3 linked regions of the Lepisosteus oculatus genome follow. The protein of the gene in region 3 purifies or fractionates together with the protein of the main gene of each other region. This does not show direct contact. Links are inferred from orthologs where the notes say so. Each region holds a gene or a part of one and is shown on either strand. Other genes may lie near its edges.

Region 1 (10,341 bases), on a different chromosome or scaffold from region 3:
AAAGAGGTTAGCGATATGAACTTATATGAACTCATTAGGTTTTTAAAGCAGGAAACTGATAAACAGCCTATTGGCAATAACAGAGGATAAATGCAGTTGGTAGCTACCTTTTCTGATATCCAGTCCTGCCCTGACATTTCCTTCTATTCACAACAGAGCCCTCCTGGGGATCGCTTGGTTTCCAGGCTAGCTCATAATGAGCTTAACCACACCGAATTAATTCATTACAGCCACTAGTATTTCACCTGCCAAATTACTAAGACCTTTACTGATTAAGAAATATGAGTATGGAGAACAAAAGAAAATGCCTTAAACCCTAGAGCTGGCAAAGGCTTCAAGAAGAATATTTTAGGGCAGCATCATGTCCCTAATGGAGTTCGGGGGTTTCTTCCTACTTAAAGCAGGGTGTCAATAATGTCAGAGTGTCAAATGCTGGAAACAGGCAGAGGACACTGGGGACAGACTGAGGACACTGGGGACATTATACTGTTTGTCCCTCCAGGTGAAGGTAGAAGAAGGGCTGGGGTATAAGAGTCCCATCTTATAACCCTGTATTTCCAGCTTTAATGTCTACATCTAGATATACTGTATATCTATTTCTACGGTGCTTTGCAAATAAATTCAGATCCTTTCACAGCTCCACATTGCTTTAAAGGGTGACACTTTGAAGTAGCAAATGATAGCTGTTTTGTTCACAACCTGCACCAAACATTCAAAGCAAAACAAACAGAAAAAAAGTAAATAATGTAGATAAAATAAAAATGGAAATTTCACGACTGCATAAGTTTTTAAATCCTTTACAACAAAGCATATACTGTAAGTGAGAATCAGTGCAAAGAAATATTGAGTTCATAGCTCTGAATCATTATACAATCATCATATTGCAGTTTTTAATAAAATACTAAAGATTAAAAATGTGTAGGCATATTATTGTTATTTTCACATTTGTCATGATGTTAATCCTAACATTTTAATGGAAGCGACGGGAAAATGTTTCCTTCCTTTTACAGTAGGTATTTAAAGGGTTCATTACTTTTGAATGGGGAAGTACCTTTTTATATTCCAAATGGCAGAACAATGTGAATATAGAAAACAAGTATTCGACCAGTTTAAACCGCCTCTGAATGCTGAAAACTGGCAAAATGAAAGACAGTAAAAAAATCTGTTGCCAGTTGACTGGCCTTCCCACTTCATCTGCATCACTTCTTTGTGGGTATACTAGGACATGAAAAAAAAAAGTCTCTTTTATAAAAAATGTATGACAGATTGTTCAGGTGGACCAAGAAAAAATAATGTGCTTTTATTGAATTTTCCATCAATTAGTGCCACGTAAAAACACAGCAGGGACAATTCAGAAAGATTGAAATAGAATAATGTTCAGAAAGGAAGATAAGAACCTTAGAATAAACACAGCCATTTTTACACTACTCCCTTCCATCCTAACAGCTGTGCTATGGTAAATAAAAGGATTCTTTCTACAACCTGCATTCAAACCTTCTTGGGCAAACTCCAGACAATGCTGTTCACATGGATCATATTGAGAAGCTATACATAGCGCGTCCAATAATTGCTATCAAAAGGCAGGTACTGCTGTGTTTGACAGGAACACTCAACAGCAAATAGGTAACATTCATACTTTCATGTATGTATGGGTTGAATGTATTCATCCAGACCTGTGAACACAAATATGTTTTTCAGCACAAGCTACATGTCCTAGGAATTTCAGCACACGATGTGCCATTTTAGCAGAGCTATTCTTAGATTTTACAACAAGAGAGTACCGTCGCAAACTAAAGCCTTTTTACAAATTACATTAAAACTGAGACTAAACACAAAAAAGTGGTTTCTCTAAATTTCAGTGTTGCAGCTGAAAGATACAAAAGATTTAATGTCACAACAAAACACTACAAAATGTGCTGAAAACAAATAAAATAGAGAGACGATAAATCCATGCTAGGACAGAAGTATTTGGGAAGCTGTCCACACTCTTTGCTTCCTGGACCACTGGTGGTCTTCCTTGTGTTTTATACCAGTTCTTCGCATCTTTCTGAGGATGTGTTAGGCATCTTTGTAACAGCAGCCCTGGGGATGTACAGTTAAGTGGCCAATCCATAACTCAAATCTTTTTTCAGAAATGTCTTTGAAGACCTTGCAGAAGACTTGGGTTAATTATCCTGCTGGAGTAGGAACTCCAGCCCAATTATTAAGCTCTTGTGGCTCTAGATAACACCCCACAGTGCAAAACACCTCGTTATTTTGTTGCATTAATTGATGTCTCTATTATACAAAGGCCAGCCTTGCCTGTGGAAAAAAAGCAGATGTGTACTCCACTATGTTTTCAACAATAGGCGTGACAACCTTTCTCTTTGTTTCACCTCCCTGAACACAGTTTCTGTCTTAGTGAAAAACAAAATCTGTTCAGACCCTGAAATCTTGCTTCTTCAAAGTCAAATGCTTTGCGGTTTTATGTTGCCTCCTTGCTTTCTCATATGGTCTTTCATCTTGTTAAAGATTTGTTCTCTCACAGGTTTCTCATGGTAAAATGCCGGCCCATCTACCTAGGGAATTTAGCTCTGTTCTAACCGCTGTTTACATCCAACCACAAGCAAATGCTGAGGCGGCGCTTGGTGAACTGTACAGCGTGATAAACACAAACACGAAAGTTTGAAGCCCGATGCCGCATTGATCTTTATGGGGGCCTGCAATCTCGGGAAAGTTTTGCCAAAATTTCACCACGGCGACCAGAGGCTATAACACCCTCGACCACTGTCACATAACCAATAAAAGGGGCATATCAAGCTGCGCTCTGACCACTTAAAGTTACAGTTTAGGATAAATAACCTTGCAAATCAGCTGGTTCACAGTCTTTGTCAAGCAGTCTTAGCTGGGCTCTGGGCCACACTGAACCAGCCTGACTGCATGTCCTCCTGTGTTCATCTCCCCCATCTTAACGTATTGTTAAGCATAGAGATTCTTTTTAGACTTCTGCGTCTCACTGAAAGCTCTTTAGCAGAAGAGGTTTATTTCTATTAATGTAAGGCAGATGTTGCAATTGACTAAACTCTTGAGAAACCTGAGGGCAGTGGGTCATCATAACTGAATGTTCTTTCTGGGGTTGTTAAAATTAGTCATCTTATCAACAATAGATCACAGGAAGAGAAGTGTTAACTACTATAGTAGTAACACTCGAAGAAGATGAAACATTGTGTCTCTTTGCTTTTTAGGATGAAATAGACCGTTACTTGTTCCTTTATAGTATTAACTATGCCCATCACAGGAGATCACATATATCAGACTTTGAAAAGGTTGCTGGGAAGGAGAAAGAGTGACTAACACAGAGCTTTGACAATATTGGCTTCGGTCATGAGAGTTATTTTTAAATAAGGTGCAAATATTGTCAGCACATTTGAGATCACACTCTCTGTTGCATCTGTAAAACATTTTTCAGTACTGGGTTTGTGCCTAGATATGCCCAAAAATGTTGTTTCCTCCCACCATATTTCTCTTTATGTGGAAGAAAAAAGGTTGAGTCTAAAAGCTCAGGATACCATATGTTGCTTCTCTCCTTATGCTCTTCAATTAAATACCTCTCTGTCAAAAACACCTGTGTCTCTGTTTAAAAGGGAAAAGCAATCTGAGAAGGGATTTCATTTTAAAAATTCAGATATTGATGTTTTTTCTTAGCATCCATATTGACAGAAATATGATTTTTCACAAGTCAATATTTTTTACAGTTTGATTGAACCTGACAATAGGCAAATTTTACCTAAAGCGTCTTAAAAGGAAAAAAGCAAAAAGGCCTAAAGTAATTTCCATACTTTAAAATCTTTTAAAAACCCATAAAGGCCATTCTGTTCAGTAGTCCCCCACTGTAGAATCCTGTGCTGCTTCACTGGATATTTTAATCGATACATTGTTTAGTTTGGCTTGAGGTAAGCCCGTACCATGCAGAAAACATGGTTTGATTTCGAATTCAGGTTAATTGCCCGTTGCTGGGTTTTGTTTATGGGGTTGACACTGTAATTTGGAACAAAGTTTATAAATTATTTATTTTTGTAAACCAACAGTAACGTTAACTTGTGTTCCAGAGCTCAAGAAAATTTCGTGTCCAGATAAGATATTTAACATACAAATGATACTCAAGCAGGTACCCAGTGTCTGGCCACTGTGCTATACCCTCCCACTGGTTGAGTAGTCTATATTGTGTAGATTCAGTGGCCTCTAAATTCTGCTTCAGGTGTTTCCAATCGCTTCCTTCCAGTTTTCTTCTTATATTTCGCTTTTAGCTACTCTATCAGACTTCCACTATCTGTAATGGATGATCTCTAAAAATTAATAATGTGTACTGCTGTAGTAGAGAATGATACATTTGCAAAACTATTCGCAATTCGCAACACTGGTGAAATTGTGTTTATATCCGGTAATATTCAATTAAACGGGAAAAACCCGAGAAGACAGAACTGCTTTAGAGAATATGTCAGTACATCCACGTATTAGCCCCATTTTCTCAACTTTTTAAGATCTATATGTTCATCAAATATTGCTTTTATTAAATATCTTTAAAATACCAAAACTCCATTACAATTAAAAGCTCGTGATCACGTCAACGTGATGAAAGTTAAGAAATCATGAGAGAGCCAAAATATGTATTAAAAGTTAACACTTTTAAAAAAAATATATATATATCGTGTTAAAATAAACAAGCAAAAAAATTAGGCAACGCATTTTTCAGTTGCTGTAGCCGTTGGCTTGTCAAGTAAATCAAACATATTTTTAACTAATCGCTTTAAAATGCTGTGTGGGAACAGTTCGTTTCGCCGTAGACGAGTCTCATGCACTTACTGTACCTTTCACATCTTGTGCAGGACAGTCTTCTCGGAACTCAGCCTGCTCTGCTCTCCCGTTCACCGTGAAATAAATGATTTTTGCTGCCATTTGAAGAAAACAGCTTTGCGGGTGGGAATCATTCGCTCTCCGGTTCCACTGCGAACTGCTGTTGAAGACTTCAAGCATCACGTTTAAACGAGGGACACCTCTGTCCTCTCTCTCTCTCTCTGTTTCCAAAACACAGTCTGCATCTTCTGCAGTTTTCTTTTCAATGAAAAGATCTCCCCTCCCACCAGAAGCTGCTGCTGGATCTGGGCAGCTTCTGCAAACGTATTATTATAGTATTCCTTAAACACAACACAGTGAGCAAGCACAGTGCCATGCACAGCTGCTGCAATGCAGGTGACGAAGTTAGGTGATACCCCATAACCCCTAATCCCTAACACGTAACTACTAACCCCTAACCCTAAACCAGAGAAAATTAAATTCTACATTCTTAGCGATAAAAGAGTTCAGCACTGGAACTCAAAATCACAAGTAAAAGCAATTAAACTTAACACCAACCCTCCAAAAGTAACCTTAACATCCCCTCCAAACCTCATCCCTTTTCCCAGGTCAGCGGATACTGGAATGAGAGGGCAGGGGACTCAGAGCTACAGAAGCAGTATCAACCATAAACCATAACTACTGAGGCAACCTGTAGCCGGCGCCTGGTCACTGCCAGACGAACTCGAGACATTGCTTCATCAGTAGCAGGGGCCCGAACAGAACTGGTGCCAAAGCAATAGGGGCACCTCGACCAGTCGCCACTCATTTCCACAGAAATTGACTCCCTCATAGCCCAGGTATTCCTAACCCCAATCCTTCTCAAACGGAGGAGGGCATGAACTCTACCCACAACCCAGCATTAAATCTGAATCTGACCTAAACGCAGGTGGCACACAAACTTTAATCCAGCTACACTGGGGTGAAACAGGAAGGGCATGGTGTGGCTCAACACCAGTCAACCAATATTCTAGACTAAGTGTCAGAGAAACCACCGAGGGGGAGAAGAATAGGTCACTCCAGCACAGTAATCGGAAACTAAGGCGAGTGCAGGAAAACATTTGTTCAAATAAACGAGCAAAAAAACTATGCAACACATTTTTCAGTTGCTGTACCCGCTGGTTTGTCAAGTAAATAAAATCTTTATTTAAAAAAATCGGGTTTAAAATGTTGTGTGGGAACAGTTCATTTCGCCGTAGACGAGTCTCATGCATTTACAGTGCCTTTCACAGCTTGCCGCTGAAGACCTTAATCCTCCCTGTAGACAGGGGGCGCTAAAGAAGAAGAAAGTGTCGTTTCCCCCCAAGTTGCTCTATTCAGTTCTTGCTTTCTCTGGTACGAAGTGCAAAGAAACAACGTGGTTGTGGTGCTGCATTGAGTGGAGGAATAGGAGGAAAATAGTCCGCTTTAAAGAAAAGGTTGATCATTTTCGTCGACGATGACAGAAGGCAGCTCGGCCCCTGCTCCAGCCGCCCGGAACCTGCTCGCTCTGAACCCGAGCGAAGAGGCTGAATTTAAGAACAAAGTGCGAGAAGTGAAAAAGCGATCTAAGAAAGTAAGCGAACTCCAACCATCAAAGAAACAGAGCGTGTAAATTAAAAGGTCGAGATCAGATCAATCTGTATGTAATCGAGCGTTTTAAACTTTACGGTGTAGCCAAGGAAGTCATCGAGGTCGAAATGCGCTTTAATATTTCGAAATAAAATTGTGCGGGTGCTGTTCGGGGCATGTGTGACATGAAGGCGAGGAGGAACACAGTAGCAGCCTACGTGTGGCGTCATGTTACTGAAGCGAGAGCATTCCCTTTAAAATGTGAAGTTATCCGCCTCTAATGTGGGCTTTTTTTGTTAAGAGTTGTGTTTGTTGTTTCCTTCACTTTCTTCCTGATTCATTTCGGCAGCATGAGAGGCTGACCCCAGGTGTGATTTACCTCGGCCACATCCCCAATGGGTTCTTCGAGCCTCAGATCCGACAGTACTTCTCCCAGTTTGGCAAAGTTCAAAGGTTACGACTGTCCAGGAGTAAAAAGGTGGGACGTTTTAGATTACAGATGTGGGTTCCGTTATATAGGCATTTCCAGAGTTCTTGCATTGCAGTGCTGTTATTAAGCTTAACAGATGCCCTTATACAGGAGAACTTACAAAATATACGCTAATACGTAAAGTAAATACGGAAAAATCAGATACTGTTGCAAAGTAAAACCGTTTCATAGTTCCATAATGAATTGTCATCTGTAATCTCTAATATATTAGTTGTTAAGGTTTTCTTTTGTTTTATGCAGTTACTGCATCAGTTAATGTCCCTGTATGTTTGTGGTCTTGCTTGAGAATATCTACGCATTTACTTTTGCAATTTGGTAATGAACAAAATTAAATTTCTGTAAATGTTTAGTGTCGTTGGAGCCGTGGTAGCTCCTGACCGGAAGGTCCCGGGTTCGATCCCAGGGAGGGGCAAGCGATGGAGCTCTGATTCCTTCCAGACGGCTCCCAGGTCCACTCAGCCTGCTTTCCACATGAGTACCAGACTGGGGGTTAATCCTTCTGGGGGTAATAGACCCGCCGGAGCGTGGTGCTGACCACATCGCCTCCACCTCCAGTGTGGGATGATTGAGAACAATGGTGGCCCTTGCCCCCACATTCCCCATGGGCCTGGATGGCCTGAAAAGGGGACCTAACCTACCTACCTTTAGTGTCACTATTGGTCATTTAACAGAACATTTTAGTCCTTTAGCAAATGCAATAGCTTTTATGCATAACAACTATTCCTTCGAAAAGGAGCACTCTTAGATTATAAGGAGCAGAGAGTGTATTTTTCAAACTGCCATTGTGAAATGAATGTTTCAATCAACTCTTCGTCCTTAAAGCATGTGAAGCTATTTAACCTATTACTCTTCTCAGTGTTCTTAATAAGGGAACAAGAAAAATCATTCTTCTTCAATATACTGATTAAGGCGTGTGTGATCGAAAGATATCCATTAATTGGGCCAAAGAGCGCAACGGGGGTTCTGATGTGGGAAAACAAATGTGTGCTTTCTGACTTCATGTCTGTCCCTCGATCAGAATACATTTCTGCAAAGCACATGGACAAAAGGATTTTAAATGCAATTTTAAAATCCTTGCATCTGCTTGCTTTATTCATTCACCTTGTTCTTGGTTTTCAGACAGGTGGCAGCAAGGGCTATGCGTTTGTGGAATTTGAGTGCGACGAAGTGGCTAAGATAGTGGCAGATACGATGAACAATTATCTCCTGCGTGAAAGGCTCATAAAATGTAAGTAAGGGAGGGATGAAGTGTGTTTCTGGAACACTTGCGGTGATTGTGTAATGTGTATGTCCGAAAATCTCTCTTTTAAGAACAGAATTTTCTGAAAAGTCTTGACTTCTGTCCTTTTAGCCTGGGAAGTGCTAGATTATAGAAAGGCGGCGGTGTCCTTTTGGTGCCAGTTCCATTTTTCTTACATCAGTTCGGTCTCACCAGTGTGACTGGTTATTGTGGGAGCTCTGGTTGAGTTTGAGGGGGGAGCACAAAGAGATGGTTTGTTTGTTTTTTATCCACATAGAAATCACTCAGGACCGTTCCACGCACGGAGTCGGGGTGAACTTCTCTGTGCCTTGCTCCGCAGGTCACGTTATCCCACCCGAAAAGGTGAAGCCGGAGCTTTTCAAAGGAAGTCAGACTCCGTTTAAGAAGCCCTCGCGCCCGGCGGTCGGCCGCTACAACAGGAAGCGCACACCTCGGCAGAAGGCGCAGATGACCAGCAGACTTTTACAAAAGGAAGCAGGTTTAAGAAAAAGGCTGGCAGAGAAAGGAATAGATTATGATTTCCCGGGATTTGTAAGTCCGCTTAAAACTGCCTGAATAGCTCTATAATAAGGGTACTGCCTGTGCGGTGGTATAGTCCTAAAAACGTTCCTTGCAAAGTCTTCTCAACAGATTATTTTCCTTTTTTCTTGCTGTCTGTCTGTAGAATAAAAACGTCATCTCTGAATATAATTATCTACACTACTCGTGCAACTTTTTGGGGCCCTTTAGCATAACTCGTCTGTTAAAAAGTGATATTTAATTGCTGCTTTTCTAGTTGTTTTTAACTAAACAGGGCCTTTGTCACTGAGCTAATGCAGGGGTGTGTGGCTATCGCTTAACTCTGCTTCATCATGAAAGGGTTCTCAGAAGTTGAAATAACTGTACTGTGCTCTTAATATTTCTGAATGGTATTTTGTAAATGGCTTCATAATGTATGTTTTTTTTTTCTTTTTTTAGTCTGCCCAAGTATCCAAAAAGAAGAAGACCTCTGCAGAGAATTCGGCCTCCATGACTGACAGTCTAGTATGTTGTATTAATGTGTCTTTTAAAACACGTATTGTAAAACGAGTAGGAAACATGCAAAGCTGTACAATTTAACTCTGAGACTTGCATGTATGATTCAGTCAACCAACTCAAGGCACCATAATATGAGCCCTTAAGATTGCAAAAGGTTTCTTCTCCCCGCATAGTGACAGGGAAGATTATAAGATCTAACCTGTTATCAATTTTGGTGTGTTCTCTGTGACTTTTCCCTGCAACAAATTATTAATGTTCAAAGGGCATCCTGTTAGGAAGCTTTGTACTCAGCGTGTGTCTTTTTCTTTGTGTCTGTAGGATGTCACGCCAGTCTGCACACCAACTGTGTTGGAGAAAAGAAAGTCAATGAAAGTGGAGGACAGCGATGGTGATGATGAAATTATAATCAAGGCCACACCTGCACCAAAGAAGTCAAAAGGCAAAAAGAAGACGCGGTAATGAGGAACTAAAAATGGACTAATTTGGGCAATATTCAATCTTTAACCTGCTGTGGAAGTAAAAGATCTTCCCTTAAACTCTGTTTTTTAAATTGTTCCTGCAGGAGTGACTGATATTCCGCAAACAGGAAAGGAAGAAACCTTTAGAATTCATTTACTTCTCGTACTGTATTATAGTAGAACAGTACAAATCACTTTGCCTTCATATTGTACAATTTGTATTCTTGTGAATGCTAGCAGTTGTATTATAAATATATGAGTTGTAATCAGGAGTGTACCAGTTACCCTTTTTCTTATCCTTTCCTCTTTAAGAATAATTTAAATGATGGTTTGAGCTTCTAGCATTCCAGCATAGTGGAAGTAACTACAGGAAATGGTTAAAAAATGGAAACACAAATATGGAGTAAGTTGACAGGGTGTTTGGTCACCACATGAGGCCAGTACAACCTGTCTGGGTTGTGGCATTAGAGTCTTCCAGCACCTTGAGTTCTGCACCATTCTGCCACAAGAAAGTCCTTCAGCTCATACCTGCTTGATGGAGGAGGAAGCCACTGTGTCGGGTGTTGTTTAAGAATATCTAATGCTTGAGGAGGTCCAGATCTGGTAAATGCGAATTCCATGACTTCCGGATTATCTTGATCTCCTGTCCACTGGGAGACAACACATGCTCCGACGCCCCTTCCAGCAGGCAA
Region 2 (9,953 bases), on a different chromosome or scaffold from region 3:
CTGCTTACTCATTCGCCAGCCCCCAATTCCACAGGCAGGATGGGGGTCTGGTAGGCGGAAGGCCAGCGGCTGGTTGAACCCAAGCTGAAAAAAACGGGCCCCCTCAGCTCAGCAGATCCCACAGCCAGACCCTTCAATTCCCCATGGGCACTGACCTCCGCAGGGGGGAAGAGGTCCATGATCTGCTCGATGAGGTAGGTGTTGTAGCTGTAGTACATGGCCAGATCCTGCTTGAGGAGGGCCACGTACTCCCCCCTCTCCCTCCCCTCCTCCCGCTTGGCGCTGAAGTGTCCCAGGACGTCGACGTTGTCCTTAATCCGCTGGTGGATGGACTGCAGGTCCAGGGGCAGCAGGCCTGAGTGGGAGAGCACGGAGAAAAGGGACAGGGGGTGAGGGTTAACCAGCAGTTAAGGATGAGCGAATTAAAAAAAAAAATCATACAGCTATTTCAAATCCAAAATCAGCTGGGCAATTCCCGACAGCCAAACGGAGGCTGTTGCTAGGGGAATGGAGAAAAATGATCTGAAATCCGGCTTTCTCCCCCCCCCAAAGGAAGCAGGCCCACCCTCTCTCGCTCTCTCCTCTGAAGTGGGCAGCTGGAACTTCTCCATCTCGTCGGCAGCCGCAAGTGGGGCGTCACCCTCGCTCCCCGTCTCCTCCTCCTCATCCTCCTCTTCCTCGCTGTCCTCCTCCAGCTCCCTCTCCAACTTCTTCTGCTTCTTTGCCGCTCTCTCGATCGGCAGCAACTGGGGGGGCACAGCAGGAAGAGAGACAATGTCTTATTATAAAATAAGACATCAGTGCCTGCAAACCAAAGAAGTAAACTCTTCACCTCCACTGTTAACTTCTAACCAATCTTAAAGGGAGAACACCAGGCAGGCTTATACCTCCTCCCCGTCGCTGCCTTCTTCCTCTCCCTCATCGCTGTCCTCCGCCACTCCGTAGTCGTCTACCATCTCATCGTCATCCGTCTCAGCTTCCTCCTCCCCTCCCGCGCCCACGTCCTCCTCCCGGGCTTCTCCCTCGCTCCCTTCCTGCACCTCCTCTTCCTCAGCCTCCGAATCGCACTCGCTGTCGGACTGAGCCACGGGACGCTTCCGCTTCGCTGGCTTCAACCACTCGCTGTTCTCATCGCTGAAGCCTGAGTAAGTCAAATTGATTAATACAGACCCTACTATAGACCCTAGAGACACACCTCACACACAGAGAATAATACAGAGCCTACTATAGACCCTAGAGACACACCTCACACACACAGATTAATACAGAGCCTACTATAGACCCTAGAGACACACCTCACACACAGAGAATAATACAGAGCCTACTATAGACCCTAGAGACACTCCTCACACACAGAGATTCATACAGACCCTAATATAGACCCTAGAAACACAACTAATACATTTTGTTTATTCAGCAGACATTGTTTTAAGCATTAAGATTTGATTACCTTTCTTTGTCTGTTTTGGTTCTATTTCTGATTTTTCAGGCTTCTTAGGCTGGGAGGTGGGAACAGAACGCTTCACAGCACTATGGAGAAGTAACAATAGCAACAATCACAACTTGCAAGAAGCAGGGGAACAGCAATTTAAAATACCAAGAACAGTAGTGGTGATGATATTTCCTACCGTTTCCTTGCTCTGCTTCCAAGTCTTTTAGACGCACTATCACCTAAAAAAGGGAACACATTTTCAAATTATATTAGTGATTATTTTATTTAAAACAACTGTCTCACATCTCACACTGAAGTGACTCTGACATAATAATACTAATACTGGTAGAGTAATATGTTAACAATTGAGCCAGTTCACAGTCCAGTCAGTCCAGTCCAGCCTGGAGAGTCTCAGACTGCTCTGTCAGTGTCAGTGTGAGTCTGATTATAATCCCAGTAAAGAACTCATCCAGCTCCCAGTCCAGTCAGTCCAGTCCAGCCTGCTCTGTCAGTGGGAGTCTAAGCAGGTGGAGCTCATGTTAGTCCACCCAGTACATCACAGTCATAATGATCAGGATGGCTGCTTACCCTCCAGCAAGAAGTTGGGAATCTCTGTCTCTGCACCCTTCTGCTTTCTGGCCTTTCGTCCTGGCCCTCGCTTCTGCTTATTGGTGGGATCTAACTTCCGCCCCATGACTGACCTCTAAATTAACCAATCACAGCCTATACAAACGAAAATAAAATGAATTTAGACATATGATCTCGAACGTAACATGACAGATCCTGCAAAGCAAAACTTCGAATACTGGAAATCCTACAGATTCGCATGGCTTGATATTTCTTACAAATAAAATCCGTCTGGTTAAGAAAAAGAAAACACTGTTTAACAGATGTAGTTCAGAGAGAAATAACTAGAACGTCTACAAACCTGCAATCTACAAGAAAAAGCAAAGCGATATCAGATGTCTAAATCAATTATTAAAATACCAACAACATTTCACATTTGATAGGTTGCAGGCTACTGTGATGAAACCGCTGCACGATAGGAATCTGGTTTACCTCTATCACAATTTCACGGGGTACTAGTACTTCAGCTTCTAGTAACAGTACTTCGTTTTAATTTTAGTTGCTGACTAAAAGCGAACACATTTCCATAGCGTTTTTAAAGAAATCCTCCTCCGATCACTAATCAATCTACAGGCCACTAAGTTAAATTTGATCGGGGCAGGGTTTTTTTTTATTACCTTACCTTTTCTATGTCTTAACACTTCTTCTTTACTACTATCGTTTCACTTAATGTTTTAACGAGGATACGGCGGTAGTAAATAAACATCTCAATAGTTCGATTTCGTATTGAAGTTTTACAAGAATCCGTTTACAATCGTAACAGGACTTTAACCGCACAGTCAAGATTTCTCTCCCCCCACCCTCCTGTGTCCCTCGATTTTTTATATCTTTAAGTAAAAAGAAAACTCACTGGTTTGTAAAAGGCGAATCATCCAGCTCTAAAGTATTAAAAGTCCGGGCACATGCAGCCGTAGTAGCACGAACGAAAACGAGAAATGTGCGCAAAGACTGGCACGTGTTTCCGTCGCTTAGCAGAGAGAGCTATTTCCGTCGCATCCTTTATGACATCACGCAGAGCGCTTACCAAAACACACGCCGGTATAGAGCGGGTCTCCGTGACGTATTAAGAGCCTTTTTTTAACCTCTCGCGCTCCAAAGGCCGGCCATTAATAAGCTGAAGTGGTTTGTAAGAGCTCAAACTAACAGTTTTGGCAAGAGACGAGGCGGGTATTAATAGGCAAAGGTTTTGAAGGCAGCACGTTTTTCAAATACATTAATACGAAAAATATTTCATGCATTAGATTAAAAGACGTACGTAGATACTCTCACTAACTTGGGGGGTTATAACTTGCTGCTGCTTTGTTCAACAACGTTGATCAGAAGATTGAACTGAACACAAAAGTATAAATTCAGTCATTAAGTTATTTTAACAGAACTGAGACCGCCGGCACGTACGAACTTTCTTTATTTGGATGATCCTGGATTGTACTATCTGTGCACACTCAATTAAAAGTGGGAAAAGATCTGTTAGAGTTACAATTTAGGGTTCTGAAACAAAAAAAAAACATTAAGACAAACATATTTACAAAGGTTCGCTGTAGCAAGCTGTTGTAAACCACAGAACTCTTGTACCTGAAACTAAGAATTAACCTAAGGAAATAAATTCCGGTCAGCAGGGTGGAGTGAATCCAAGACACTGAACATATCGGGAAACTAACAATAATAATTAATAATAATCATTTAAAAGAAAAACCCAATGAAAAAAATAAAGACCTAGAGTGTACATGTACATAGAGGTAAAATGCTTCTATAAACAGTCAGAAATAGGTCTTTATTTAGTCTTGATTTGTCTCTCATGCATTATGAAAGTTATATTATTAAGGCTCCCAAAAGCCTCAGGTAGGCGCTGTGGCTCGGGGTGCAGTTATCAACTGCAGGTGTCCCGGCGTAAAGAAAAATACATCTCACCTGGGCACCAGCACGCGGGACCCTCCGTCGCCAGGCAACCGCAGTTCGGAAACAAATCCCCTAACGGACGGAGAGAGACGTTGCCGGCGGCAGCGCTGCCTCACTGGGAGCGACGGGACATTTCCATGTCTGCCAACGGAGCTCTGGGCTCTGTCCGTTCGGCTGACGCTTTTCCAGAAACACTATGTCCGGGAGGGAGCCGGGCGGCCGGGGACTCGGCAAGGCCGGAGCCAAGCGCCTCGGCCGGCTGCTCAAGAAGGCGCTGCGGGACGAAGGCCCGGAGGCCGCCGGCGCCGCGCCCAGTCAGTGTGACCCCCCCAATCCCAGCCGGCCGCCCCTGAGCACGGCTGACATAAACAAAACACCCGCGCCTCTCGCTGTCATTTTAATTCATTATGATGCCGTGGTGTTCCGTCACAGCGCCTGTGCAGTTTTGGAAAGAGTGAAAACGATGTCTAGACACCGCCCTCTCGCCTAATGTCGTTCTCACTTCCTTTTTGCCAGAAACCGCGGTCGGCGGGTTGAAGAACAAGAGGCCGGCGGCGGCGGCTGGCGCCCAGGCCGGGAAGAGAGGGAGCGGCGGCGGCGGCAGCGTCTCCGCGCTCATCCTCCGGGTGGTGGCCGCGTCGAAGCAGCGGGGCGGCCTGTGCATGGCGGAGCTGAGGAAGGTCCTGGCGTCCGGCGGCTACGACGTGGAGAGGAACGACACGCGGGTCGCCGCGGCGGTCAGGGGCCTGGTGCGGCGGGAGACGCTGGTGCAGACCGGGGGCAGAGGCGCGACGGGCTCCTTCGCGCTCAACCCGGCCAGGGAGAGGAGGGCGAAGCCGGCAGCGGCGGCGGCGACGACGGAGCGGGCACGGAAAGCCGCGAAGCGGGGGGCGGAGGGACACAGACAGGCCGCCGCAAAGACTAAGCCGGCGGGGCGTCATGGCAGGACCAACAAGCCGGCCGGAGCCGCGGGCAAGGTGCCCACCGGGCAGAAACCCACGAAGGTCGCAGACAGGCGAGGCGCTGATAAGGGCAAGAGCCCAGCTGTGAAAGGCAGGGCGGCGAAGAAGGCGCCCAGAAAACCGGCTCCGAAAAAGAGGCGTTAAAACGGAAAGGTTTTTGATTTTATATGAGTGAATCAACAAATAAACGGGCTAAGCAGCTTTAAATGATAACTTCAAGAGTTCCGGTGTATTTATCCCCTACACATCCTTTATCATGCACACAATTAAAAAAAAAAAATTAAATGCAGATGAATTCTTACATGTATGACAAAATATATCAGGTGACTTGATTGAGGATTGTGTCCCACTTAAAGGATGTACTGTTGGTTTGCATATCAGCCTTTATTTTTTAAAGTGAAAAGGAAAATCTTTGCAGTGGTACCTAGATTGCATTTCATATGAATTAGATTAATGCTGTTAAGACCATCTGCGTTTAGCGGAGCAGAAATACATATCAGTGGAACGATAGTTAATTTTAGACCTTAAATAAAAACTATTAATACATGAATTGGTACTGTTTATTTTATTTACTTAAAAAAAACACGCTATTGAGTTGATAGTGAAGATCTTTTAAAATAGGTTAGTGTATAAGCGCACTCCCCAATAACAAAGGTCCTTTTTTCTCCCATGAAAATTAAATTACTTTTGGATTTGCTTCAAAACAATCAGCTCTTATGATGATCGAACTATCTCAGTCACAAATATGAGAAAATATAAGGCGACTGAATCGTGAGATTTAAAAACAAAATACACAATTAGAGGTCAGGGCTGTTAGTGCACCTCGGAGCGCAAACTGCAGCAAAGTTGCTGTCCTAGTAGCTTGGAATCAGAGCGAGCGGGCTTTTGACTCCCAAGTTTGCACAAATCGCACAGTTTACGCCAAGCACATTGTTTTCTAGGATAGGGGATATAAACGGCATGAGAGTCGGATTTCAGAAAATCTGCACGTAGTGCAAAACGGATCGCACGGCCCTTTGTTCCTGAGTGCTCGGGCGGAGGGGAGAGAGAGGCGCCTGGAGTCAGAGCGAGCGGCTCAGGCGCTCAGCCGTTTGAATTTCATTGGCGCAGAGCGCAGCCAATAGGAGAGCAGCTCTCTAGCTGACCAATGAGCCTCCTTCTCAGCTGAGCGAGATGATTTGCATACAGCCGCTATAAATAGGGGGCTGCAGGAGGCGTGAGTTTCATCATTTTGTACGCAGTACGTAATTTGAGAAGATGCCTGAACCAGCGAAATCCGCTCCCAAGAAGGGCTCCAAGAAAGCCGTGACCAAGACGGCCGGGAAGGGCGGCAAAAAGCGCAGAAAGACCAGGAAGGAGAGCTACGCCATCTACGTGTACAAGGTGCTGAAGCAGGTGCACCCGGACACCGGCATCTCGTCGAAGGCCATGGGCATCATGAACTCGTTCGTCAGCGACATCTTCGAGCGCATCGCCGGCGAGGCCTCCCGCCTGGCGCACTACAACAAGCGCTCCACCATCACCTCCCGGGAGATCCAGACCGCCGTGCGCCTGCTGCTGCCCGGAGAGCTGGCCAAGCACGCCGTGTCCGAGGGCACCAAGGCCGTCACCAAGTACACCAGCTCCAAGTAAACCCGGCCCGCCCGTCCCGGATCAGCGAACCCAAAGGCTCTTTTAAGAGCCACCCACAGAGTCCGTAAAAGAGCAATCATGATTTCTTCCTTCTTGCTTCAAACCGTGGAAATAGACAATATAGTGCAATGGCACTAAAATAACTTGGATTTGATTGATTTAATAAAAAAAAACAAAAAACATTTCCCACTTGGTTCTTTAAGCAATATCGTATAATTCTCGCTTGTCGTTCCGATGTGCTTAAATTCGAGAAGCTTGTTAGGATGAACGTTAAAATTGTCCATCAGTCTGCTGTTTACTTCCCCCAATTCTGTGTAAAGTGTATCCTGTGCTCGATTCAAATTCACCCTGACTTAAATCACACACAGCTCCTCTTCTGACCAAGTGGCTGTAAGCGGCTAACCGCTGTTTCAAATTATTCAAGTGTACCTCGCCAAGTTAAGTGCTGGACAGGTCCGATAGAAAAGTATGTCCCTGTTTGTAAGGCTACAGCTCAACCAGGACAAGGCTCAGGGAGCAGAGACCACAGCTGTCCAGCAGAGGGAGCAGGAGAGAAGGAATCGTTTCTCTTAAAAAGCCCATAATAAAGAAAGCAGAGGTTCTTGACCTTTACTGCAGCCACTTAGACCTAAAAACTTCTTACCCCTTATTAAAAATCTCTAAAGAAGGTCAGTTCTTTAAACCCGATGCATATCGTAATTATGAAATGAGAGAGAATGAAATATAGGTAAGATCAAGAATGCATGAAAAAATATACAGTCCAAGGTCTGAAGAAACAACGTATTTGTACTGATGTGCCTGTGCTTAATCTGTGTTTTTGATTTAGAAGCAACCGGGGTTAAAAGAATGTAGTCATTGCAACTGATTTATATCAAATCTGAAAGAAGGACGTTGTTCTTATATACAACAGAACTCTCTTCAGGATACTTTATTAATCCCCTGAGGGAAATTGCAGTGCACCAGCAGACTGGCACTGTTACCACAGGACAATGTAACGAATGATACAATATTACAACAATACAGTAAGTACAGTCAGTGAGAAGTGCAGTAAAACCTTTTTAAAAATGGAGTATATAGAATTGCTCACATTACAGGAGATGTAAGACAAACCAGAATGTACAGTATACAAAAAGATATATTGCACATTATAAATATATTACACAAAGCATATATTGCACACAAATCAGTTGGAAAGAGGAAAACCAGCTGTAAACAGAGAAATTCATTTTCATTCCCAAAAACAGGTCAATGTTGCCCCTGCCCAGACACACAGTGGAGGAGTTGCACAGTCTGATGGCAGAAGGCAGGAAATTACCCCCTGTAGCGCCCCCTGTCGCATGTGGTTGGATCAGCCTACTGCTGAACGTGTTCTTCGTTCTCACAAGCATGTCATAGAGGGGATGGGAGACGCTGTCCATGATGGCCATTAATTTGGACACCATTCTCCTTTCAGCCACTACCTCCAGGGGGTCCAGGTTAGAACTTGTTCTTTTGATAAGCTTTTCAGCCAGTTAGCATAGAAAGCATAGAATCATAGAAGACAGTAAATTGATAGGTAGATAGTCGCTAATAGACACAGATCTCATTGTGTTGTGTCTAGAGACTTGTTTGGACAACTTGCACCATTCACCCACAACTCTTTGGGTAAAGCTGATTAAAAAAAATGCTTGTTAGGTGTATGTAATATACACACCAGCTGAAGCAGTTTGGTGTTTATGAGTAACGAACTGTAACAAAATTAACCTGTAGCAAGACTGAAGAATTAATGAGAACAATAAGAAACCAGTGAGAACAAACCCCCTCCACATGGCAGTGGAATGTGAGATTAAAGAGACAGGAGTCAGTCTGAAGAAATAAAGAGAATTGTGTATAAAAGAACCGGCAATTAACTAAGTACAAGAACTCAGGCTGTTTCAACTCAGCTGTGTGGATACTTTAGTATTAGTGTAGATATTCTATTTGATTAATAGTATCAAGATTAATAGTTTCAAAATAAAGCGTCCGAAACTGCTGCCTCGCAGGTCTTGATTTTAATTCGGGATGGAAGAATCCTTCTGTATGGAGTCTGCATGTCTCCAGCCTAGTGCCCTGTTCCTGTTGAATTGGTATTAGCCCTACCGTGAGCCCCAGAGACAAACTAATTAATTTAAATGTCTGGGGAATGGACGGGCGTTCACACCAGCCAGATGAAAGAAAATAAAACTAAGCATTTGAAAATCCGCTTTTTTCTGCCCGTCTTGTACGAGCAGTAATATCACGGGCTTTCTGCTAACTGTCTCCTCCCGAGAAGCTGGGACGATGCTGAAGGATCTGGAGGAACTGCAATCCGAAGTAACAGGTTTAGAAAGAGCTTCAGGAATGTTGGTATTGACGGTAGAGAGTTGCAGTCTTTACTAAAGCCCCGTTGAAGAATCGCCTTTGAAGGAAGTGATTTGGAAATTTATGAGATAAACAAAGTGTCAGAATACGCGTGTACAGCATTTTATAAAAGCGTATCGGTGAAAAAACTCGAAATACTCAGAATTTCACAGGGATAAAACGGTCTAGTTTGACAAAACTTGTCCGTCTCCTTCTTAGAAACAGCGAGTCCGGGAGTGTGTTAATAACACTGAACATAGAGCAAAATAAATCATCCGTTTTAAATAATTCAGAATTCACTTTTATTGTGTTACATGACCGTCGGCCTCGGCAGTATTATTTAAACATTGTTTTTATCTTTACTGATGGTTTAAGTACATTTATTCTAGAAATAGACGACAAAGTGCCGGGTGAGCACCGCCTTTCGTGAGCTCTGTTGTTGGAGTTTGGGCAATTCTGTCAAAATTACTGTACAGAAAAACCTGTAACTCAACTGCATATTAAAGACCAGGGGGTTTCCTCTGCATTTTGCATCTCTTGTACTCGTTTCTGTGTATTTGTGAGGATTACGGGGCAGTTTTGTGCGGGGAGAAAACACAAGTGCGAGCGGGCTGTGCGGAGCGGAGCTGCAGCAGCAGCAGCGGTTGAGTCTCCACGGTTCTCATGCGGCCTTGAAGTTCCGCCTGCGCGCGGAGCCGCAGACAGTCCGACAGCAGACAGAGACGCAGCGATGGCAGAAGAAGTCGCTCCGGCCCCCGCCGCCGCGCCGGCCAAGGCGCCCAAGAAGAAGAGCGCCGCCAAGCCCAAGAAAGCGGGCCCCAGCGTGGGAGAGCTCATCCTGCAGGCCGTGTCCGCCTCCAAGGAGCGGAGCGGCGTGTCCCTGGCCGCCCTGAAGAAGTCCCTGGCGGCCGGCGGCTACGACGTGGAGAAGAACAACTCCCGCGTCAAGCTGGCCATCAAGAGCCTGGTGACCAAGGGCACCCTGGTGCAGACCAAGGGCACCGGCGCCTCGGGCTCCTTCAAGCTCAACAAGAAGCAGGCGGAGA
Region 3 (10,372 bases):
GTCATTCTGTAAAGTGCTTTGTGAAGCCACCTTTAAAGGCCCTATATCAAAATAAAGTTTTTTATTATCGTTACTTAAGAAGACAGTGTGCATGTATGCTGGTTCTACAGACAGCTTTATGCCAAGTCTGCTTGTGCACCTGTTTTGGTGCGAGTCTCTGTGCGTCAGGTGTGTTTGTCTGGTGTTCGGAGAACCAATAGTGCCGATGCCAGTCCGCTGACCTTGTGAGTAGGCATCATGTTGCCAGTTGGCTCCCACGTTGGGGGCTCCATCATTCAGAACCACATCCACCTTCCAGGTCTGGAGCTCCTTCCTGATAGCCTAGCAGGCAGACACACCACAGTGAGGAAGACAGCCTTGCAGCCAGGGGAAACCCCCAGGGATCCCCGCCCTGGGTTCTCAGGAGATGACGCAGACGTTCACATTATGTTTATTTCCCTTACTTCAGCATAAAGGTTTAAATGCATAAAGGTGCCGAACAAAGGCTGACAAGAAAGCACTCTTGCTGAGCCACCTGATGTCAGTGAGAGTAGGTTGCCACACCCGAGAGCTTCTTCTCTGCAGGACTGAATCTCTCCTGCCTGACACCTGCACTTGTTAAGGCCACATCTTGATCTTTCTTTTCTTTCTGTCACTTTGTCTTCTGGGAACCTCTTGGCTGGGTCTTTATTGGACTTTGTTCTCAACTGACCTCCACAGTTAAACAGTTATTCTTATTTAATATTAATCTCACCATACAACATAATGGCTAAGATCTACAGATCAAGTCTGCTAATGGACCTCAAAACCCTGCCAGGAGATGTTTTTCTCTGTTATGTAAAATAGATCCTAATATATGGTTCTTGGGTGACTAGGCTGTTAGCAATGTAGTAAGCTAAAAAAAATAGCAGTTCTACTGTGTTAACTGCCTGATATCAATACCTTAAAAGGCTGAAAATCTGACTAAGTAAAATGTGGTATAAGTGCACTCTCTTGTCAATCCTAGTTCAATGTCATGTGTTGGGACACTTCACTTTCTAAAACTTTAATTTCAGGGATTTAACATTCCAAGCATGCCAGTATTTTATTAACGACACTACCAACACCCCCACAGGGCAGATAAATTCTCTCCCTCGCTGGGCTAGTTTCCAGATTTAAAAGGCCTTTCTCGACACAGCTGATGGACTAACTGCACGAACCACACCCCAGTCACTTGCTTAACTACGAATGAATTTATTAGCCAACACACCCTCTGGCACAGCGGACATCACAGGGTCATGTCACATTGGGTTTCACTTCTTTTAAGCTCTCCCTACCTGCCGGCATTTCTCAGTGGTGATATCCTCTTGCAGAGTGACCACGTTGGGGATGGGCTTAATGGGCACCAAGTCCACACCTGGAGTGCAAGAGGCAGAGAGGAAGAGAAGCAGAGAAAAGAGTATGTCAGGCAGAGGAGGAGACACACTCACAGTGGTTCTTCCACAGATCATTAGCCCTACAGCATATGCTGCTGTGCATGAGCTTACAGCAATAATTAACACAGGACTCTCCAGCGCTGGTCCTGCAAAGCCCCAATGCAGCAGGTTTTATAGATCACCATTAAATTGTCAATCTCTGAACACTCAGAGCAATGTGATCAAGTGAGTTGGTAGTTTAAATTATAGATTACTTGGGACCAATCCTAGTACCTCTCAACCCATAAAGATCACAGTTCTCTTAACTGAACATGATAAGTGCTTAAGTTATATGTTATATTAAGTCTCCATTCTGTAAGAAAATGTGAGATGCCTTTTTTCCCAAATTTTACAAAAGCTATAAAGTACAACCTGCACAAGAATATGTTTGAGTAACAGGGCTTTGAGCCAACTGAAAACCAGAAACAGTGTGACTCACGTGAGGTCATACACGCACACTTGTACAATGTGGAACAAGTTAATAAAAATGGATGACATTCAATGACCCAATAATACCATGCCAGTTTTTCTAGTATATCCCAGGACTGGATTATGTTAAAATGCAGGTAGCATATGAATCCTGTTGAATAGAAACACACATATAAACCACACTTGTAGACACAGAAACAGAGCTGAACTCACCAATAATGAGGCTGGACACTGGCATGAATTTGGACGCCACCTGCAGCCTACAGAGAGAAACAAGATGAGAGAAGCAGAAAAACGCAACGCCACAGACACATAATGCAATGCATTCGCAAATCCTACTACATTCCATCTTGGACACTAAATGACTTCATTATAATCAGTAGTCCACTCAACCAGCCTATAATTACTACTGTTTCCATGTCTTCACTCACTGAGGATTATAAATCACCCATAAACCCTGCAGGAACACAGGGATAACTATCACTGCTGAAGGGAAGCAACACTGGGCATTGCTCCAGGGACTACAGGCAATTAATAACATCACACTAAATACAAGTACAGTACCCTAAACTTACTTCAGAATTAATGTCTTAAAAGTGCAAACTGTGAAAGTGAATTTCACATACCCCCTTACTGCACTTTACTAATTAGCACATTTTTCATTGGGAGATTACCACACCATCAGAAATGTACACAGTGAAATTTCTCATGTATAATAGACATGTAACTAGGCAACCACTTCACCAATATCTCCTCACACACAGCACGTAAAGAAGCTGAAGCAGGAAACTCCGAGTGTAGGCTTGTTTTATGGGACAGGTTAGAGAGGTACTGCACACTTCCCTACTCCCTGGCACACTGAAGCTGAAGTCTGAGCTGCTGTGTAAATGCACATGGGTTTGTCATGTTGCACAAGAGCATTTAGTTCGTAATATATTCACATTACTGCCTCATTTCTGTGGCCTTATGCTCCTTGTCCTAAGGTTGCAATTATGCCGTTACTATTTTCAGCGACCCCAAGCAAATGACCCCCCCCCCCCAAGTTCAAGGGGGCACCTATCTTCGCCCCCCATGAACATTTAAACGCACAAGTGAGCCAGTTCCACGCTACACTCACCAGCCGCCCGGCGCGGCACACAGGTCCAGCAGCGCCCGAGCTTTCTGCAGGAACTGGAACTTGCGGTTCAGCTGGATGAGCTTGAAAGAGGAGCGAGAGCGGTAACCTGGAAGTAACAGCACAGCCTAAGACTCTGAGGGAACACCGACGGGGCACACGACACAGACACAGACACAGACACAGCAGCAGCATGGACAGATCATCAGAACAGCATGCGACGCAGTCTAATCTCTGTTTACCTGCGAGACAGCAGCTCTCGTCGCCTTAGCTAAATGATCCCAAAATCAAACCCTAGGCAAATGAGCCCTTAATCCCAGTAAGACTGATACTAATGATTTGGAGCACGGATAGTTCCCGGAGACTGCTGGATCACAGAAAACTGTTTATCTTAGGTGTCTGTAGAATTTCAGAACAGCTTCCTAAGCATTAGGAAGATAGTGCGTTATTTGTAGACAGTGGTTATGCTATATTCTGTTTTAATATATGAAAAACGCAATGTACGGCCATTCGATGGGCATTTTAAAGAAGAGCCCGGTTCGCATGATACATTACAGACCAGCCGACTTCTCCTGACAACCCCGTCTTAAAGAGGCCACACTCGTCTTCCCGGCCTCCACCGACAAGACAGAAACATACTCACCCGTCTCTTTAGCCAAGTGGTAGAATTTATCTTTCCTGGTCTTTCCGACTTTAAGTTTCTTTCCCATTGCTCCACCGGTGAAGGGGCGTTAAAGAGACAAATAAATATATTCTAGTCCGAAATTTCTACGAACTCCAACAAGCTCTCATCCGACAATCCACCACCGAAGGAAAACAACACGTGCACTTACTGCGCCTCTATTCTGCGTCACTCATGTTGTCGTCATCAAAAGACTGCCGATGAACTTTAAAAAAAAAGAATTTTCGGCTAGGCGTTAGACATACTGTACGGCTAATTCCTTGAATGGGAGCTTGAAGCACTAAGAACAAGATGTTTGGCAGGGTCCTTTCCATCAGTATCTGCACATCATTAATTGAAAAATATTAAGAGTTGTTTAAAAAGCTTTAGTGAAACAACAATTTTAAACCAAGTTGAAACAGATAATAATAATAATAATTGATTACACTTATATAGCACTTTTCTGGACACTCCACTCAAAGCACTTTACAGGTAATGGGGACTCCCCTCCACCACCACCAATGTACAGCCCCACCTGGATGATGCAACAGCAGCAGGCTCATAGTGCACCAGAACACTCAAAATGCAGGAGAGCAGGGTGATGAAGCCAATTCATAAAGGGGTATATTAGGAGGCCATGATTGGTAAGGGGCAATGGGAAATTTGACCAGGACACTGGGGCTACACCCTGGGGTTTTTAATGACCACAGAGAGTCAGGACCTTGGTTTTACATCTCATCTGAAGGACAGTACCTGTCCTTGTGGGCATTAGGACCCACAAGGACCACAGGGTGAGCACCCCCTGCAGGCTCCACTGACATCTCTTCCAGCAGCAACCTTAGTTTTTCCCAGGAGGTCTCCCATCCAGGTACTGACCAGGCTTACACCTGCTTAGCTTCAATGGGTTGTCAGTTGTGAGTTGCAGGGTGATATACTGTAGCTGCTGTCTATGATATACGCGCTATGATAGTTCTACTTATTATGACACACACAAACAAGATGCTTTAGTAGATGACTACTAAGCTCTGAGTAAAGAAAACAGTTAAAAATCAACCAAGTTGTTCACGTTTTCAATAAGCTTAATTGAATATGAGATAATTTCCAATGAACTACAGGGTTACAAGGATTGAAAAACACTTATTGTATTTTAGAGAACCTGCTTTGTTTCAATTTAATGACAACCACAAGAGGGAAGCAGTGATTCATGAAATTAATACTGAAATGCTCATGATACTATCACAGAAGACATCAGTATGAGTAATCATGGGAGGTGAAGATTACAGAAACAGAATTTTTACACACATATAAAAAATTGTAAAGGGAGGAGGACAGTAGGGAGGAAGCCAGTTCATAGATGGGGATTATTAGGAGGCCATGATTGGTAAAGGCCAGGGGGAAAGGATGATGGGGTTACACCTTGGCCTGGATTTGGAGTTAAGCAACAGTTCTAGGATAACCTAATCTGATCAATTTCCATGTTGTCAGTTCTTAAAATGCAACACCAATTTAGAAAATTTGAACCCCATGGTGCTCAGATGAGGGTTGGAAAAGCTGGAGTTCACTGTGTTATTTAACAAAGGGATTCTTAATTCTTAAGACTTGTCTGCCTTTTTGGTTTATGCAGAGATACCCTTTCGGAACAATTTAAAGTGACCACAAGGTGATAAAGATCAATTTTTAGTTCAATTGGCTATTCTGGATTTGAACAGGAGCAATGCCAACATTTTGGTATCAACGTCAGAGAGTCTGATGTTGAGCTGGAGTGAAGCATGTGGGGAAGCTGCTGATATTTGTCAAGTTTCAAGTCAATCAGTTTCCGAAAAAGTTGAATTTAAAAAAGGCTTTTCAACAATGCAGCTCAGTCCATTATCTTGGTAGATGGTAGGTGATGTGTATTGGACAGCAATATTATTGTCACATGTCAAATAGAAGGCACTTGGTTGGTACCTGTCATTTTACACAGGGATCAGCTATAGGTCTGAACTTTGCAGATACAACAGCACAAATGACCAGTGGTGGTCTGTGGCTGTCATGGTTTGCATAGGAGCCTATACAATCATTTCACTGTATTTTCAGCAGTTTGTATTAGGGGATGTGTTTCTTAATGGCCTGGAAAGACTTTGAAAAGAGTTAGTTGTATCCTGTAAGCTGCAAGTCTTGAAGCATATTTTGAGTACAGATGAAACCTGTCAAGTTCCACTTCAGCTTGTTGTTTGAAGGCAGTTGTTTGAATCTAGCTGCATGCAAAAGTCCCATTTTTGCTGTACAGAATTCCGCCATTTATTAATGGAGTGCTCACAAGTGATTCTTACTAAGTCTGGAGTTAGTAATCAGGTTATGAACAGCAAGACTTCGTGTTCTGGGACGCCTGTCAACAACAAAAAGAAATTGTGTCCATCTATGTTTATATAGAAGCTCTTTTGATGCTAGAATTAGATCTATCAAGGCTGGAAGTGATTGGCCTTACATTTTTAAGGAGCTTTTTAAGGAGTGGGTGTAAAAATGATTGCAGCAACTTGTTTTGCTGGTGAAATTGTGGACCATGTCTCAATTCCATCAGTTGCAGTGGATCTCAGGAAGATGATTTTGAAACCCCTTTCAAATGCAAGGTTTAAAAAAAAAAAAAACATTAAAAATGGTCACAATCGCCGTGAGTCTCCACTACACCGAAGCCTGTTTAGTCATCATCATGACTTCACAATATGCAGTACAAAGATCGCTGGCTGCTAATGGTCATGTCATGAAATTGCTGACAGAAAGCAAGGGGTTAGGCCGCAGGCAGGGTGCAGGAATGGCAGGTGCTGCAATTATCTCAATGCTGTGGTGTTGATGTGATCGCCCCGGGGTTGTGCCCTTTCACACAAAAGCGCCAGTCCCATGATGTCGAGCGATGCCAGGGCTGATCAGCGAGTTTCTCCCAGCGCAGGGCTGAGAGGCGGACGAGGGAAATGGGAGCCCGAGGACATGAAGAAAGGGGGGCGCAGGAGAGAGGGAGCCACGCTGTGCAGAGAGAGACCCCCCTCCCGGCAGCGCAAGATGGGAGAAAACTGTCCGTGACTGCAGGGGAAGAGAGGGCATGGAAAAGGGAAGAAAAGCAGGGCGAAAGGGGTGTGACAGCACCAGAGGAGCGAAGAGAGGGATTATCTTCTCTCACATGGTGCGCTCGATCATTCCCACTATTGTCGGCAGAACAATGAAGGCCCCCGATCCAGGGCTTAAAAAGGATAGATAGAGCTGGGCAGGCTGGCTGATAACGACTGTGGTGCAAGACGGCGATCAAAGAGAGGCGAAAAGGTATGCCCATTACATTCTGTGTGCTTGTCTGTCTGTCTTTTCACAATTCCAGTGCAATTCTAGCAGCTGGAGATGCCAACAGAGGAGAGGTTTGAGACACAAACCTGTGACAACTTAATTCCTTCCTTCATTGGTTCAGACCTTGAAGTGACCGTAGTAACTGCTTTGGATTCAGGCACTTAAAGTTACCACAATTAGTGGACTCAGTGGTGTTTAAAACCTTAAGCATTTTCCAAACTAGTGAAAGTCACTATTGACCAACACGTGTCTCTGAGTCATTAGAGAAGCTCTTCTTTTTCCAAGCTTGTTGATTCAGCCCTGAGCTTCAATAGCATGGCTCTGTGGCTTGCCCTAGTTTGGTCAAGGCTCTGTTTAGAAAAGTTCTACAGTAGCTGTTCTCAATGTTAAATATTCCTTCTCTTATTTTCAGTATCTCGAATCCTTGTTTCATTAATGACTTGAAAGTGGTGCTATTGGTCCATTTGGCAACACCACTCAAGATTCTGAATAGGAGTACACCTGTTCCATTATCCCTAGGCTACAGAGGTTCAGTTCTTTTAGCTTGTCTGTCCGTTGCAAGCAGGGACTAGCTTGACTGTTTCTTTCAGGGGAGCTGCCTGACAGTCCATCCATTTCCTAACCACTTTATCCAATGCAGGGTTGCTGAGTCTCTCCCGGCAATTCTTCAGGTCCTGTCTTGGCCCCTAGCATGTATTCTGTGCGCCTCTTCAATGCTTATGTCCTGCCGGGCCAGGGTGTTTGTAGGAATCGCTGTAAGGAGTGGTGATTTTAAGAGTCATGCTGGATCATCACACTCACTTCCATCTGAAAAAAACAAAAGTTAAACATTGATGAGCTGTAATCACTTTGCATTCCAGACTCCCTTTTCATAATATAAGGATTTTAAACTTTTTTTCCCCCTGTGCTCACCAACACCATGTCTAGATATCCGAACGCTTGAATGCACACCCATCACAGTTATCCGTGAGCTCTAGGGAATTTGTGAATGTACTGGCACAATATTTAGTTGTAACAGTAAATCGCGCGAGTTTAAATTGGCTGTTAGGAATCAATCGGCAGAACAAGGAGTCTTCATAAGGTTGAACAACTCACGGAATACATTTATCAATACATAAAAACAATGTGTACTTAAAAGTATTCATAATATCAAGGTGAAAGCGAAGAGGTACATTAAAACAAGGATACTACGTTTAGTACAGTATAACGTTGATTACACTAAATTTCTTATCAATCTCACTAACATAATCAACATTCAGGCGCTCTTAAGTAGCTACAGCTACTTACTGTACATTGATTTAATTGATATTAACACATTCATATAACCATTTTATTCTCGAGAGGGTGAATATTCACTTATATTCATCCACATGGAATGTTAATTCGTGCAGAAGGATGGATAACAGCTGACTGGGTCCGTCGCAGCGCCGTTCAAACTGTGCTTTTTGGCTCAGCGCCAATCCAGTACTAATCCAGGCAGTTCTGGAAAGGGGGAGCTGCTCTAGAATCGCGCTGACAGTCGATTCCCTCATATGGATTGTGCGGGTTAGCGCTGAGATGAACTGGGACAAAGTCTGTGCACATCACTGCTCAGTCGGGTCGAGTCGGGGCGAGTCACAGTAAAAGGGGAGAAACTCGGTTTGCTCAAGGCGGAGCGGCTGCTCGCTGCTGCTCAATAATGCTCTATTCAGGCGTGTCAACGGAAAAGTCCGACCATATTGCTCCGGCGATCAAGCGGGCGCACGGTCCTGCTGCAGGCTAGACCTCAGGCAGAATTGTGGTTTTACATGCTGCGCTTCGGGAAAAAGTTTAAATCCCAACGTTTTGACAGCAGGTGCAGCTGGCACGTGGTCCTCCTGTCGGTGAGTCAAGTAGATTCTGCAGAGAGAGGGGGACGCAGTTAGGGGTGATGCACTGATTCTTAACTGGGGAAAAAGTGGTGATTAATCATGAAGCTACCCACATCCTGCAGTCAACCTAATTGATTGGTCATCTTGCTGGATGAGTGACCTTTTCCTGTGACTTTTGGGATTATCTCCAGATGTGCCTATCCCACTGCCAGACAACCTGGCACAAGCAGTGGACATCCATCTTTAAGGGGTGTTGACAATGGATCTGGACTGTCCTGGGAAAGATCCTTATCCGAGAGATAAGCCCATCTCTCATTTTTACTGGCTGTAGATGCTGATCCCTTGTGATTTCCACAGGGCAGCCATCTTAGTTCTTGCAGATGCTTTTGAACAACAGGGCATTGGGGTAGGGGAAATGGTGAAGAACCAGTCATTTTCAATGTTCCTGCTATCCCAAGATGGGTCAGAAACACAAAATGAAAAACAAGTGAACACTAGAATGATCAGAATCAGAGGAGCAGGTGTCTGTGTACCAGGTGGCTACCAAGCCAACGTACCAATTACCTGATGCCCTGACTAGGTCCTATAGCTTACGGTCTCATCCAGAGTATTAAACATGTGTTTAAATCAGCTGAAGAGAGCTCACACCCAGCAGATGGACTTGACTGTTGTTAATTTTCTGGGAGCACCTTTCTCCTGCAAGGAAGCCTGACTCTTCCTCCCAGGTGGGGCTGTCAATAAATCAATAGGATCATAGGAATGTAGGAATGAGATTCTGAATTTCTGCATGACTCCCTATATCTCCTCTTCACTCCTGTGCTCCTCCGCTTTCCTTCCTAACTCATGTCCTGGCTCCATGAGCATTCTCCCTACAATTCCCTTTGCATTCTTATAGAAAATAAAAAGAAAAACTAAAAATAAAAATTTGTAAAAGAAAAAAAGTTTTAAATCAACCTGATTACTTTTGTGGTTGCGGTTTGTGTTGATGTTTTGTTAAAGCTCCTGTCCATCTTGCCTGTCTCATAGACACTCTCTCTGTGTGAGTTGCAGTGAGAACGGGAGGACTGTGCTATCCCACGCTGCACCTTGATGCTGTACACTTTGGCAGGCGGGGGCACACTCTGTGGTGTAGCTGCCCTGGTGCTGCTCATCGTTTCCACAGCAACAGACTTCTGGATGCAATACCGGTACTCTGGAAGCGCAGCCAATCAGGGCCTTTGGAGGTTCTGCATAAATCGGAAATGCCACTCCCACACCATTTCAGTGGGTGAGTCAAGGGAGAGAGCTGTCCATATGTCTGTCAGTTCAGCAGTCTATTAACTGTGATGCAGGAGTTATTATGGGGAATTTACTGTGCTGTAAATACCTGCTTATTCTTTATCATTAGTGATCACTGTATTATAAGTTAACAGTCAACGAATTAGACAGGTAACACACATAAGTGAAATGAAAGATCTGAAAGCTCGAGTTAGCGAAAGTCCACATATCCTAGGACAACTTACCTGTGCAGTAAGTATATTCTTGATTGGCTGGTGAAGATTGAATTCTGTCTGTCTCCCTTTAAAGCCTTCTG

What was found.
Region 1: the proteins of ftsj3 (region 3) and nifk fractionate together in Homo sapiens (co-fractionation; 3 studies listed by BioGRID, with this or other methods). This does not show direct contact. The link is inferred for Lepisosteus oculatus from reciprocal best matches to the Homo sapiens genes FTSJ3 and NIFK.
Region 2: the proteins of ftsj3 (region 3) and nop2 fractionate together in Homo sapiens (co-fractionation; 3 studies listed by BioGRID and IntAct, with this or other methods). This does not show direct contact. The link is inferred for Lepisosteus oculatus from reciprocal best matches to the Homo sapiens genes FTSJ3 and NOP2.

Annotation. Positions count from the first base shown.
Region 1 is NC_090707.1:4,288,434-4,298,774, reverse strand, and holds nifk (MKI67 FHA domain-interacting nucleolar phosphoprotein), read left to right. Parts: upstream 1-6,195; 5' UTR 6,196-6,310; coding exon 6,311-6,427; intron 6,428-6,772; coding exon 6,773-6,901; intron 6,902-8,032; coding exon 8,033-8,141; intron 8,142-8,493; coding exon 8,494-8,705; intron 8,706-9,131; coding exon 9,132-9,197; intron 9,198-9,509; coding exon 9,510-9,650; 3' UTR 9,651-9,919; downstream 9,920-10,341. Other genes in the region: high affinity cGMP-specific 3',5'-cyclic phosphodiesterase 9A, read right to left, coding at 4,848-5,013.
Region 2 is NC_090718.1:3,595,484-3,605,436, reverse strand, and holds the start of nop2 (28S rRNA (cytosine(4447)-C(5))-methyltransferase), read right to left. Parts: upstream 4,058-9,953; 5' UTR 3,968-4,057; intron 3,027-3,967; exon of another isoform or gene 2,910-3,026; intron 2,156-2,909; 5' UTR 2,127-2,155; coding exon 2,021-2,126; intron 1,672-2,020; coding exon 1,629-1,671; intron 1,531-1,628; coding exon 1,451-1,530; intron 1,142-1,450; coding exon 888-1,141; intron 747-887; coding exon 566-746; intron 356-565; coding exon 156-355; intron 1-155. Other genes in the region: histone H1.2-like, read left to right, coding at 4,152-4,269, 4,472-5,061; histone H2B 1/2, read left to right, coding at 6,175-6,549; histone H1-like, read left to right, coding at 9,638-9,953. UniProt on the Homo sapiens protein: S-adenosyl-L-methionine-dependent methyltransferase that specifically methylates the C(5) position of cytosine 4447 in 28S rRNA. Required for efficient rRNA processing and 60S ribosomal subunit biogenesis.
Region 3 is NC_090708.1:19,038,457-19,048,828, forward strand, and holds the start of ftsj3 (pre-rRNA 2'-O-ribose RNA methyltransferase FTSJ3), read right to left. Parts: upstream 3,810-10,372; 5' UTR 3,687-3,809; coding exon 3,620-3,686; intron 3,086-3,619; coding exon 2,980-3,085; intron 2,123-2,979; coding exon 2,076-2,122; intron 1,376-2,075; coding exon 1,296-1,375; intron 322-1,295; coding exon 222-321; intron 1-221. Other genes in the region: lim2.2 (lens intrinsic membrane protein 2.2), read left to right, coding at 9,889-10,066, 10,366-10,372.